Linked DNA regions of Arabidopsis thaliana. The protein of the gene in region 1 interacts with the protein of each later gene in a pairwise test. Each region holds a gene or a part of one and is shown on either strand. Other genes may lie near its edges.

Region 1 (4,435 bases):
TTGTATCACTACATTCGTCATTTTCTTACTACTGTATGAGGTCCCTTTAGAAACTTTCTCGATATCAAATCTGATCTACTGGGTTTGTGACACTCAGCTCTTCCCGAGAGGTTCAAAACTCCATCAATTCTTTGAATGGTGCAGTAGTATCATCATTTCTCTTCTTCGCATAACAATTTATTCGATTAGTACTTCTTACAGTAAATGATCAAACATCTAACACATGTTTTACTTTCGTAATTAAAGGATTTGGATGGTAGGCAGTCTCAGAGGCTGAGGCTAGGCCACCAAGAGGCCAATTTTGAGCGGCCACACCTCTTCACGTTCTCATAAAAAATGCAGATTCTGAAGGGTAAGACTCTCAATCCTCAGCCAAGTTCGAGCATTTCCTATATGATTCATAATTGTCAAGTAACAAACGACTAAGTATGTTGAATCTTGAATGTAACAGTTTCTGTGAGCCTTTGAGGCATATGGGGTTAATGGACAATGGCGGTTTCAGAGAGTAACTAAAACTTACTGCTGGTGCACGCTAGGCTTTATCCGCCTGAGATGTATGAAGACATAAAGGAATGGTCTTTTCTAGAAAGATAATGATTGCGTTAAAGCAGAGACATGTGTTTCTCCAAAATCCTGCTTATTCACTGAGCATCTTGAGGAGGACGTAAACAAGACCAAGAACATGGCCCCATGGTGTTGTTATTCTCTAAGGAAACTAACTTTAGTACTAGTATTAATGTAAACACAACGCATAAGAACCTCTTTGATTTCATTGATTATAATTCCAATCACTCGTTTAAAAGCGAAAGAAAAAACAATTACACCGAAGGAAAATTCACAAAAGAGCAAGTGGAAAACACAAATATAAGAAAGGGAAATGAAAACTGCAAGTGACTGATTTAGATTTGTACAGAGAGATCACAACTTCATTTATTCTTGAGAAATCTGGTTTGATGTGTTTAGACGTTGGCAGCACTTCTGAATGATCCAAGAGACTTAGAACCTGAAGCTCTCAGAACGAATTGGTGGTAGAATGCAGCTATCGCAGCTCCAATGAATGGTCCAACCCAAAATATCCACTGTTTGTAATCACCAAAATTTCAAAACATTATTCCCTTGTAAAAATGAAAAATATAGTTGAATGTAATGGAGAAACGTTGAGGTCTTACGTGGTCATCCCATGGCTTGCTCTTGTTGTAGATTACGGCAGCTCCGAAACTCCTTGCCGGGTTAATTCCGGTTCCGGTAATGGGAATGGTAGCCAAATGTACCATGAACACGGCAAATCCGATTGGAAGTGGCGCCAACACCTTTTATTTCATCAAAATTCAAATTTATTAGTATGATTGAAATCAAATGTTGGTTTGGTTTGCTTTGGTTCCGGTTTTGAGTCGGTTAACCATATTGAAGATTAATAGCACTACATATGTGACTCACCGGAACGTGGGAGTCTCTGGCACTACGTTTGGGGTCAGTGGCAGAGAAGACGGTGTAGACAAGAACGAAAGTACCAATGATCTCTGCGGCTAGACCGGTCCCTGTGCTGTAGCCATCGGCTAGAGAGTTGGCTCCACCTCCGTAACGGGTGTAGTAAGAGCTTTGGAAGGCTTTGACAAAACCAACTCCACAAATCGCACCCAAACACTGAGCGATTATGTACAATAGGGCCCTAGGTAACGACACTTTACGTGCCAAGAATAGCCCAAATGTCACCGCTGGGTTAATGTGACCACCTAAGGAAACAAAAAGAGTTGACAATGTTACCAGTACTTGAGAATTAAGGTACAACAAGCAATTAATTAACCGGTTTCAATTCTGGTTAAGACAGGGTTAGTCAGTTGCTTAAAATAATTACTAGGCTTAGATTAGATATATATCATTCGGATAAGAACCGATTTGATCATGACCCTTATTAAATGTTTTATAAACAAATCATTTTCGTCTTTTAAACCTAAGATTTTAAACCGATTAAATAGTAATGTCAACCAAGCAATATTTTTCCTTGCAAAATAATTAATTTCGAATAAACAAACCAAAACCATACCATATAATTTTTACTTGTCTAAATTTTGAGTTTGCAAGTTGTACTTACATAAGTAAAACTTATTCAGCTTATTCGGTTTAATTGTAATTCTAATACTCAAAAAGTGTATAATCTTAATCTAAACCAAACCAAAATCAAGATTAAAGAAGGATCATACCAGAGATACCGGCGGTGCAGTAGACGAGGATGAAGATCATACCACCAAAGGCCCAAGCGATACCGAGGATTCCAACTCCGCCGCAATCTACGCCACCGGCATCAGTATCGGACTGAATCTTGTAACCGATGACTGTCAAAACGGTGATGTATAAGAAGAGGAGAGTGGCTACGAACTCTGCGATAACTGCTCTGTAGAAAGACCACTTCTTTAGCTCCGCTCCATCAATAAACGGAGCTGGTGGCGGATCTTGATAGTCTCTTGTCTGAAATCCTTCTCCGGGAACGGCTTCCACATCCTTTGCCATAGTTAACTTCTTCTTCTTTCAAACAATAGCTTTTTTTTCTTTTGCTTCTCTGTTGGAGTGGTTAGTGAGAAGAACATGTGCTCTGTTTTATAGTGAGAGCTCTCCTTCTTGTTAATTTGTTTGTATACTTTTTTATTGCTTTATCTTTTAAAAAATATTTTTAGTATTTTTGCCAACGTTATATGTTTTTTTGGTTTTTTGTGTATTGAGGTTTTTTTTTGGAATGAAAGTTTGTATTTTCAATGAAAAAATTGGATATAAAAGTATACGAGTGAGTTATGATTATTATTATTATGAGGGAAGTAGCTTTGACAAAATGATTATGAACTAGCTGTCCTGAAATAAATTTTGAACCAATTCTATTTAATGATTGCTTGATATATCAATATCATACATAGTTACTAATACGTAAAGACAAGAACCCTAGTTTAATTTCAGACTTAGAGTTTTTCAATCGTTGAAATTTGAAAAATTCAAATAAGTTAGCCAGTAAATTTCTTTAAAATTTGATTCGAGTTTATTTTAGATCCTAAATTAGAATAGTTTATTCTATTTAACGTTATAGTTTGCACCAAGTCCATGACAAAAAGATTGATCCAAATCTATTGAACATGCGTCTATAAATACATGATAATGATATGGGATTAGCTAGCTTATGATATCATAAAACAAGACTTTATATCCACTCATATAAACTTGCATAGTTTTATCTCTCGTAGCAATAGGAAGTATCAATCAGTGGTGATGGTGGAGAGCTATCAGAACCACAACTTTGAAATAATTTATTAGTTTTTATGTCAATCAAATTTTTATATGTTTTTCTGGTAAATAATGGAGGTTTTTTTTGTTTACTTTAACTTAGCCTCGCCGCCCCCATCACCTAAATGTCATTTTCTTTAGGACCGACCCAATATACTATATCATCAATATGGTGCTCTCTTCTTTTTGTCGTATAATATCATAGCCTGTCGATTTTTCAGATTTAAAAAGCCACAGTTTTTGTATGCCAAATCATTTTAAAATAACTTACGTCCACTTTTTTTTTTTATCGAATCAGCATTTACATTCTTGAAAACACATAACAAAACTCCAAAACCTTATTTTGCTCCAACGAAGCATGGCTAAGTTTCTTCACTCCAAATCCAACTAATCATGCATGGTTATATTCGAGTGTCTCATTGTATATATAGAGAACATTTTTCTTGTTCACCAAAGTCAAAACACTTTGTTTTCAAAATAGATAGATATATGGTCATTCTCTTACATTATAAACATTTTTGTAGTCTAGAAGGTCTAGTTTTCTATCACCAACATATGTTATTAAGTATGTTTGAGGTGTCATAAAACAAAACCCTACTTGAAGATGTTAGAGCCGGAACTCAAAATTATGACACAATATTAAAGAAGCATAAACTATTTCGTTCACAAACTTTCATTTCAAACTTAATTGACGATAAGTAAATTGATTCGTCGTATATCTTATCACACATAACTCAAATTAGCATTTAAGTTGATATTACTAACATAAAGTAACCAAAGCCTAAACGAACCCTTTTTCATAATTGTTGTGTTGGTATATCACTCTCTAAAACCAGGGTGTAAAGTTATGGTGCCGTTTTGTGGGGTGGGTCGAGATTCCACTGAGGTTAAAATCATATGGTCTGTGTTGGCAAAAGGTGACACGTGAATGGGTGGCGCGCGTGACTAACCGACCCGATCCCTCCGACAAACGTATCGTCACCGTCCAATCCATCTCAGCATATAGCCGTTTGTTCGCTCAACCACTCACATAATGCCACGTTTGTTGTCCCCACCAATCATTTGCATTTTCTCTTCATATCCAAAATTTCATATCTTTTGCGAAAATTGCTGACAATTAGACTGAAAACGAAAATATAACAAAACAATAAATCCCAATAAAAATGAC
Region 2 (7,149 bases), on another chromosome or scaffold:
AGAGAACGATTTAGGAACAATAACAGCTCCGAAATGCGAAGCAATAGAAACTTGAATCTAACCTTCTTCTTTGAGGAGAATCCGCCTGCAAAACGAAGTAATTACCTCAAATTTCTCGAAGATCAAGAAGAACACAGAGACTTAGTCGTGGAAGCTTACCATTGCCGAAGAAACAGAGGTCGCGATCGAGACGGAGAGAATTAGGGTTTTAGTGAGAGCAATAAAGCGTAAAATCAGTCTTTCTTTTCCCCCTTGTCTACAGATGAATTATTCAATAAAATTTTATACTATTACAAGAGTCAATAATTGCATGTAGCAAGACTCACGTTTCTTATGGTGTCTGCAACAACAAAAGAAAATAACAATAATCGTAATCAGTCCCGGATTGATATTTCCGGTCTGCGGTCTGGTTCGGTTTAATACCGCTAATTAAATATTTTGATCTGTCTAAGTGTCCATGAATCTTCGGTTTGGTTCGGGTAAACAGAACCGATAGGCACATCTAATCTTAACATTAAAAGTCGAAGCAGAAATTTTGTTTTGAACGCAGTTACACAGCATCATTATCCGATTTTGAAAAAGAAAACCGAGAAAAATAGAATATCCTCAAATTATTTTGCCTCTTCACTCACTCACGATCTCTACATTTTGCACCCCAACAAATATTTGACGACAATCACAAAAGAATGTATAAAAAAGAAACAACACAGTTAAATGTACAACAACTCAAACAACACTTTCAGCTAATATTATTCAGGATCAAAAGAAACCCCAAAACAAATGCTGAAATTTACATTGAACATTCACATTACGTGGTTAAAGTGTCAGGAAGAGCCATGGAATGAGCTCCAATGATCTTACCACCAACATCTGGGAAGGTCTCGTAATCAGGAAGAGGGCTTACTTTACCATCAACGTCTACTTGTAGAGGATACTTTATTAAGTGACCTTGTAGCTCTGAGAATTTCGGGTCTATGAATCTTTTCCAGTTTTCTTCAGAGATTGTGTTCACCTTCTTCAGACATTCCAGATCTGATGGCTCCACAAACTCATCTCCAGTTTTGCCTAAATGCTCTGCCCATAGTGACATTCTGTATCCATACACCTGTGTAGATAGATAGAGATATCATCAAGCTCTTTATGTCTTACGAAGACTCAATATATATAATGGTTCAAGAATCTGGGAGTAGAAACACAAGTTCTCTCAAGTATCTAAGAACGTGATTTTTTTCGCAAGATCGAATGCTATCCCAAATTTCTTTACTGTTTTTAAATCCAGGATTCAGGAATTTGAAACTTTCCCCATGTAGATATAGAGACACTTTTGAGGTTTGGTTATGATATAGATGATGATGATGAAGATGTTAGGAGGAAGGCAAACCTGGCCACGTGGGTGTCTTCCCTTGTGAGCCCATGTATGATTAGGTTGGTATGCGCCCATGGCGATTTCAGTATCTTTGGTGCCTGCCATAGATCTTTGGTTGATATTAGCAGATCCCATGAGTACATACTCATCATCTACTATCATCCCTTTTGCGTGCACGTAAATCATGAAACGCTGGAAATTATAAGAATCTGATACCTGAAAAATGCAGTTAAAATGATCATAAAGAAATTGTTCCACTGATTACTACAGGAAACTTTATGTATGATTTATCTATCTGTAAGCTACAGTTTTTGTGAATGAAACATTCTTAGTCTTAGAAGTTTGAAGATTATACCACACTGCCATTGGTGGCTGGCATATCATCTGGAAGCTGCTCTCGTTTACCAAGGCAGTAAAAGTTAAGGTAATCGAGAGGATGAGCATCTGATTGCACCGCTTTCAGTTCTTTTGCTATAACATCATACATCATCTGCATAGTTTGGCTCTACGAAATGAAAAGAACAGAAGATGTTTAGCAGAATGTAAGTTTCTCTTTTAAAGAAATGGAACAACCTATTTTGGTATTGGCACTTATCTTACACTCAGCTAAACAAAGTTACCTGCCAATATAGAATTTCTTGCACAGGGCCAGACTTTGGGTCGCCTTCAGGCCACAATGGTATGACAACATATACGGCAAATCTTTCCTTAGCTCTGATTTTGCTAACAATCTTTAGTGCCAACTCCATAGGAATAAGATTGTCAGCTCCTGCTCATACAAGACGAACACAGAATCAGAAAATCCGCGGGTGAAAAAGTTACTAAGCTTTATTTAATACAGTTCAGGTAACTGTGAGGTGAAAATAGAGCCACAAATACAAAACTAGTAACTGAGAACAATTCTAGACTTCATGCTGTCTGCAATGTGAGTATTTTATTTCCTAGTCTAAGAACTGTACTCAAAGATCAAAATGCACCTGCGTCTCTATAAGAAGGCCAAGCATAAGAAGAACCCAGGAAATACTGATTCTCGATATATATGAAATGCTGAGCAGATCTGATTGTCTGGATGTATGCAGTCTGGATGCTTTTATCTACAACAAGACGCTTGGCACATTCCAGATGCTGCAGTTAAATTATATTGAAGACTTTGTAAGTAGTGCAATTTCTATACCATGTGGTGGCTTATAAAGAGAAATTTCATTGAATAAACGGTGATTCTTCAAGGAAGATAATTAATAATAGCAAATAAGTTGATTGACCAACCTGGGCCTCAGCCTCATCTTCATATTTTGGAAATCCTTTCACGGATCCTGAGTCGATAGAACGGAATATCTAGAAGTCAAAGAAACCGCGTGGTTAGATCAAATCAACAACATTTGTTAACATGAAATAAGTATAGTTTGGAAGGAATCAACAAGGACCTGAACATGCCAGTTCTCTGGATCATCTTCTTTAGAAACCCAAACACATGGATCGTCCTCTGGAATTATCGAAGTACCATCCTTCAGAAATTTAAACACTGGACTCAGAATCCATGATATACGCCCTATCCGGATCAAAGCATCATCTTGCCAGTGAGTTTTCCCCTTTAAACGTAAGCTAAACTCCTTCCATCGTGTTGCCTTTCTCCATCGCTGCTCAAAGTTTATGAGAACATCATATGCCGCAGGCCCATCTATCCTACAGTGCAAATCGTGCCAAGGTTGTCTTGGGGCCTTGGTACCAGCCTGAGGAAGTAAAAACAGAGTATGTATCAGTAATAACTAAAGAATTAGGATTCAAGCTTGATAACAGCCGGTATATAATAATAAACTTACTGGAAATGTAGGATTGTGGAAATCATCCTTAAATACAGTGTCAAGATCGTGGAGTATCCTATGCTCAGGTGTGTCATAACGGCCATCACAAAGATCTAGACCTCCAATAAAAGCGGTGACCTTGCGATTATTACCAACAGCCTGAGTGTCTACAAGAACACACTTTTGATGGTGCGTGAAGAGAGTTCCAACAACCTGGCCATTAAACATCAGATATCAAAAAAGATATCCCTTGGAAAGATAATAACTATGCCAAAGCCGAAATTGACATAACATTTTGATACCCACATGTTGAAAGAGCCTTTAACTAAACAATCGAGAAACAATGGTGCGACATGGATTAGAGTCAGAACATCTCTTATAATTGAAAGTAAGCATCCACATTAACTAATTTCCAACTTTGCAATAACCCTCATCATGCGGGACTAAACCCCCTTAGCTAAAACATATCAACATCATACCAAACAAAAACTGTCATGATATATATAGAAGAGCTAGGACTTGCCTGTTGTTTGAACAACCCAAGCTTACTGCTGGCATACCGGGGTGACAAAACGCATATCACAGAAGAATGCTTGAAGAACTTCCTAGTCTCCTCATCATGTGTCCCCATAACTCCAGGCTGCAAAATAAATGTCACACAACATCTTAATGTCAAAAACACCAAATAACCTGTCAAAACATAAATTATCCTCACCAGAAACTCCAATTAACATTACAACTAGTAATCCAAAAGCTCAAAAATAGCAATACGAATCCAAAGAACTTGTGAAAACACTAACCGTTTTTATCCCAAACTTATCATGAGAAGTCTTATCATCCCATACAAGTAGCAAAACTCGAACACCTTCCTGGGATTTGTATTTGAGCAATTCCCCAAGCGTCATATCCTTATCTCTTGGAACTTTTGTTTCCCTAACAAGCTTAATCTTATGGAAGATAGACCAACCAACAATGTAAATCATATGGTGAGCCTCAGATATAGCATAACATATATCTTCCCAACACTTCCCATGCTCATAAACTTTCCCGTTATCTAACCCAATCGCCGGCAACGTTCCGTCCATAACATGAGCGTCCTGGTAAAGCCTCACCTGACTTCCTTTCCTCACAGGGAAATAAGTCCGTCTAACACCCCTACGCTCCGGATCTCCGGCGATTCCACATCGGTAGCTATGGATCTGGTCAAACGGAGTAAATTTCATATCGATGAAAATAGCAGTTTCTGCCTTAGGCGGTTTTCCCGAAGCACCGAGTACAGGAAACCAACCAGAAATGCGTTCTCCCGATGCGATGTCTCGAACCGGGATCTTAGCCGTGCCAATGATTTGAGCACCGAAAACATCGTCGTCTTTGACCTGGAACTCGAGATAAGCAAACGGATGCGCTATAGAAATGTTGAATTTCTCGTCCCAAAGAGGCTCTTGTGAGTTTTTCAAAACACGTGTTCGAGCTAGAGTCGCTTGAGGAACGACGACGGTGACGTAAGGATCGCTGGTGATAACCTTACGGTGGCTACGGATGTTTTTATCACCGAATTCGCCTTTATCTCTGGGATCGACATCATCGGTATCGGTGGGTCTAGCACAGGCGTTACAGGCGGTGAAGAGACGGCGCAAATGTTCTGAGAACATATCCATGTTAGGTAACCTCCTAGCCTTAACAATTTTCAAATCGAGGTCACCGTGTAGAAGCATAACGTCCTCCGATACTTTCTCCGCCATGGTTACAACAATTCAGGTGGAAGGAAACGAAGAAGAAGAAGAAGAAAAGCTAACAAAAACCGAAAACCCTAACGAACAGGGCTCGGTTGTTGTTGCTGCTGCAGAAACCAAAGATGAATTTGAAAAGTTTTTTTTTTTTTTTTCTTTAGAAAACGAAAGATATTTATTATTTTTAGGTGAAATGATTTGAGAGAGAAAGACAAGCAAGGAAGGAGAAGAGAGGACAGGTGGAGGGACGACGTGATGGGAGTTGTTTGCTCACTGACGACATTATTCCGTGTAGATCTCAGAGGAGTCGTTGCACACGTTCTTCATCTAGCTTCTTTAATCACTGAACTTTACTTAATTAGTTTACAAAATCTACTGATGACGAATTTGATTTTAGAACGTTGTACCAATAGCTTTGTAGACGTAAAGAAATAAAAAGCTAATACAATAATGCTAAAGTTGACAATGATGATGTGAAGAGTTCTTCTCTTTTTCTGGACAAATAATTAAGAAGACAAGTCAAAAACCAGCTATGCGAATCTGGTGATATTAACCCACCACATCCATTGGATAGTTTTCCAACATTTGCTTCATTTATTATATACAAAATAAAATTTGGAAAAATGATTAATTATCACATAAATAAAAATCCCAAAAACCATTCTTTAATGGTGTGGATAAAACAAGAAATAAACCCATATTGGAAAGTCGAGCTGTTTAAACTTTTAAAGTGGTCACACGTCAATCGATAATTGTCGGAAACAAGGAAAAAAGGCATTCTCGATTCGTATCTACTCAATGAAGCAACAGCAGTAACATAAAGAATCCTTTCATGGATTACAAATGAACCGTTTCACATGTTTACTTTCTGAAATAGAACAACACAGCAAAAAGCCAAAAACTAAACCATACGAAAAGCCCAAAGTCTGATATGTTTTCGTTTTTCTATGTTTATACTATTTTCTTTTTGGGGGATGAGGATTGGATGGATTTATGGATCAGTTTGGAATAATATACAACTCACGAAAAAAGGATCTATTAAGAAAACCTTGTTCACAAAGTTATCCACAGAAGATCACTTTGAAACGGTCCCTTCCTTTTCTCAGCTTTCACTGTCTCTTAAATCATGACCTGCGGGTTACACGATATCCCAAGTGGCTAAGTTCGTGAGCTAGTAAGACTTGTAAACCCCAATGGTTCCAAGAGATTTAGACGTTACCTAAAACATGGATTGCCAATTCTCACTCTCTTTCAAGGGTTGCCTTTATCATCCTTACTGGCATCTTTTTTTCCAGTCTTGTCCTTTTTATCGCCCTCATGTGGGGTATACTGACCCGTTGATGACGGTGAATAACCGGGAAGTGTTGGCGAGTAGCCTGCGCTTGGGCTGTAGTCTGGGCTTGCTCCTGAGCTGTATGGGCTGAGACAGATTTAATAACAACAACCCAGTTAAACTTTTTGCGGAATTCAATTGAGATGGATGCATTACAACAGATCCAAGATTTTCAAGCGGGTAAAAGTCAAACCTGCTGGGACTGTATGTTGGACTTGAAGGTGAATAAGATGGAGATGTGGGTGAGTATGATGGAGATGTCGGGCTGCAGAGTAAATTTTTAATAAGAGTTAACGATTAGAGAAGATGACACAATATCACCACAACAGATAAGAGAAGCTTCATAGAAAGTGTAAAAATTAAGATATTACTACTTACCTGTAGTTGGGAGATGTAGGACTGTAGGGGCTAGCTGGTGATAGTCTTGCATTGCTAGGAGAGTAAGCTATAGATGGGCTATATTTAGCAGACTGAGGGTTGTAGCTTGGAGACGTAGGACCGTAGCTTGGTGATGTTGGACTGTAACTTGGTGAAGTAGGGCTGTAGCCAGGAGATGTGGGGCTATATGCGGGTGAAGTAGGGCTGTAAGACGGAGATGTTGGGCTGTAAGATGGTGAAGTAGGGCTGTAAGAAGGCGATGTTGGGCTGTAAGAAGGTGAAGTTGGGCTGTAAGAAGGAGAGGTTGGGCTGTATGCTGGTGAAGTTGGGCTGTAAGCAGGTGAAGTCGGGCTGTAAGCAGGCGAAGTCGGGCTGTAACTTGGGGAAGTAGGACTGTAGCTCGGAGATGTCGGGCTGTAGCTTGGCGACGTTGGGCTATAGCTTGGAGACGTTGGGCTGTAGCTCGGAGAGGTAGGAGAATAGGAAGGACTTGTAGGAGAATAAGCAGGGCTTGTTGGGCTATAGCCAGGAGAACTGGGA

What was found. Proteins that work in one complex are often made in the same cells at the same time.
Region 2: the proteins of PIP2A (region 1) and PLDDELTA come close enough for resonance energy transfer, tested with the Arabidopsis thaliana proteins (one study listed by BioGRID).

What each region holds. Positions count from the first base shown.
Region 1 is NC_003074.8:19,802,947-19,807,381, forward strand, and holds PIP2A (plasma membrane intrinsic protein 2A), read right to left. Parts: upstream 2,785-4,435; 5' UTR 2,509-2,784; coding exon 2,202-2,508; intron 1,734-2,201; coding exon 1,438-1,733; intron 1,311-1,437; coding exon 1,170-1,310; intron 1,080-1,169; coding exon 960-1,079; 3' UTR 527-959; downstream 1-526. UniProt on the Arabidopsis thaliana protein: Water channel required to facilitate the transport of water across cell membrane. Probably involved in root water uptake. Its function is impaired by Hg(2+).
Region 2 is NC_003075.7:16,954,966-16,962,114, forward strand, and holds PLDDELTA (phospholipase D delta), read right to left. Parts: upstream 5,206-7,149; 5' UTR 4,911-5,205; coding exon 3,969-4,910; intron 3,809-3,968; coding exon 3,659-3,808; intron 3,382-3,658; coding exon 3,187-3,381; intron 3,097-3,186; coding exon 2,791-3,096; intron 2,702-2,790; coding exon 2,633-2,701; intron 2,492-2,632; coding exon 2,344-2,491; intron 2,136-2,343; coding exon 1,987-2,135; intron 1,872-1,986; coding exon 1,722-1,871; coding exon of another isoform or gene 1,716-1,721; exon of another isoform or gene 1,583-1,715; coding exon 1,382-1,582; intron 1,106-1,381; coding exon 809-1,105; 3' UTR 553-808; downstream 1-552. Other genes in the region: AT4G35785 (RNA-binding (RRM/RBD/RNP motifs) family protein), read right to left, coding at 63-85, 160-162; NRPB1 (RNA polymerase II large subunit), read right to left, coding at 6,150-6,318, 6,425-6,496, 6,610-7,149. UniProt on the Arabidopsis thaliana protein: Hydrolyzes glycerol-phospholipids at the terminal phosphodiesteric bond to generate phosphatidic acids (PA).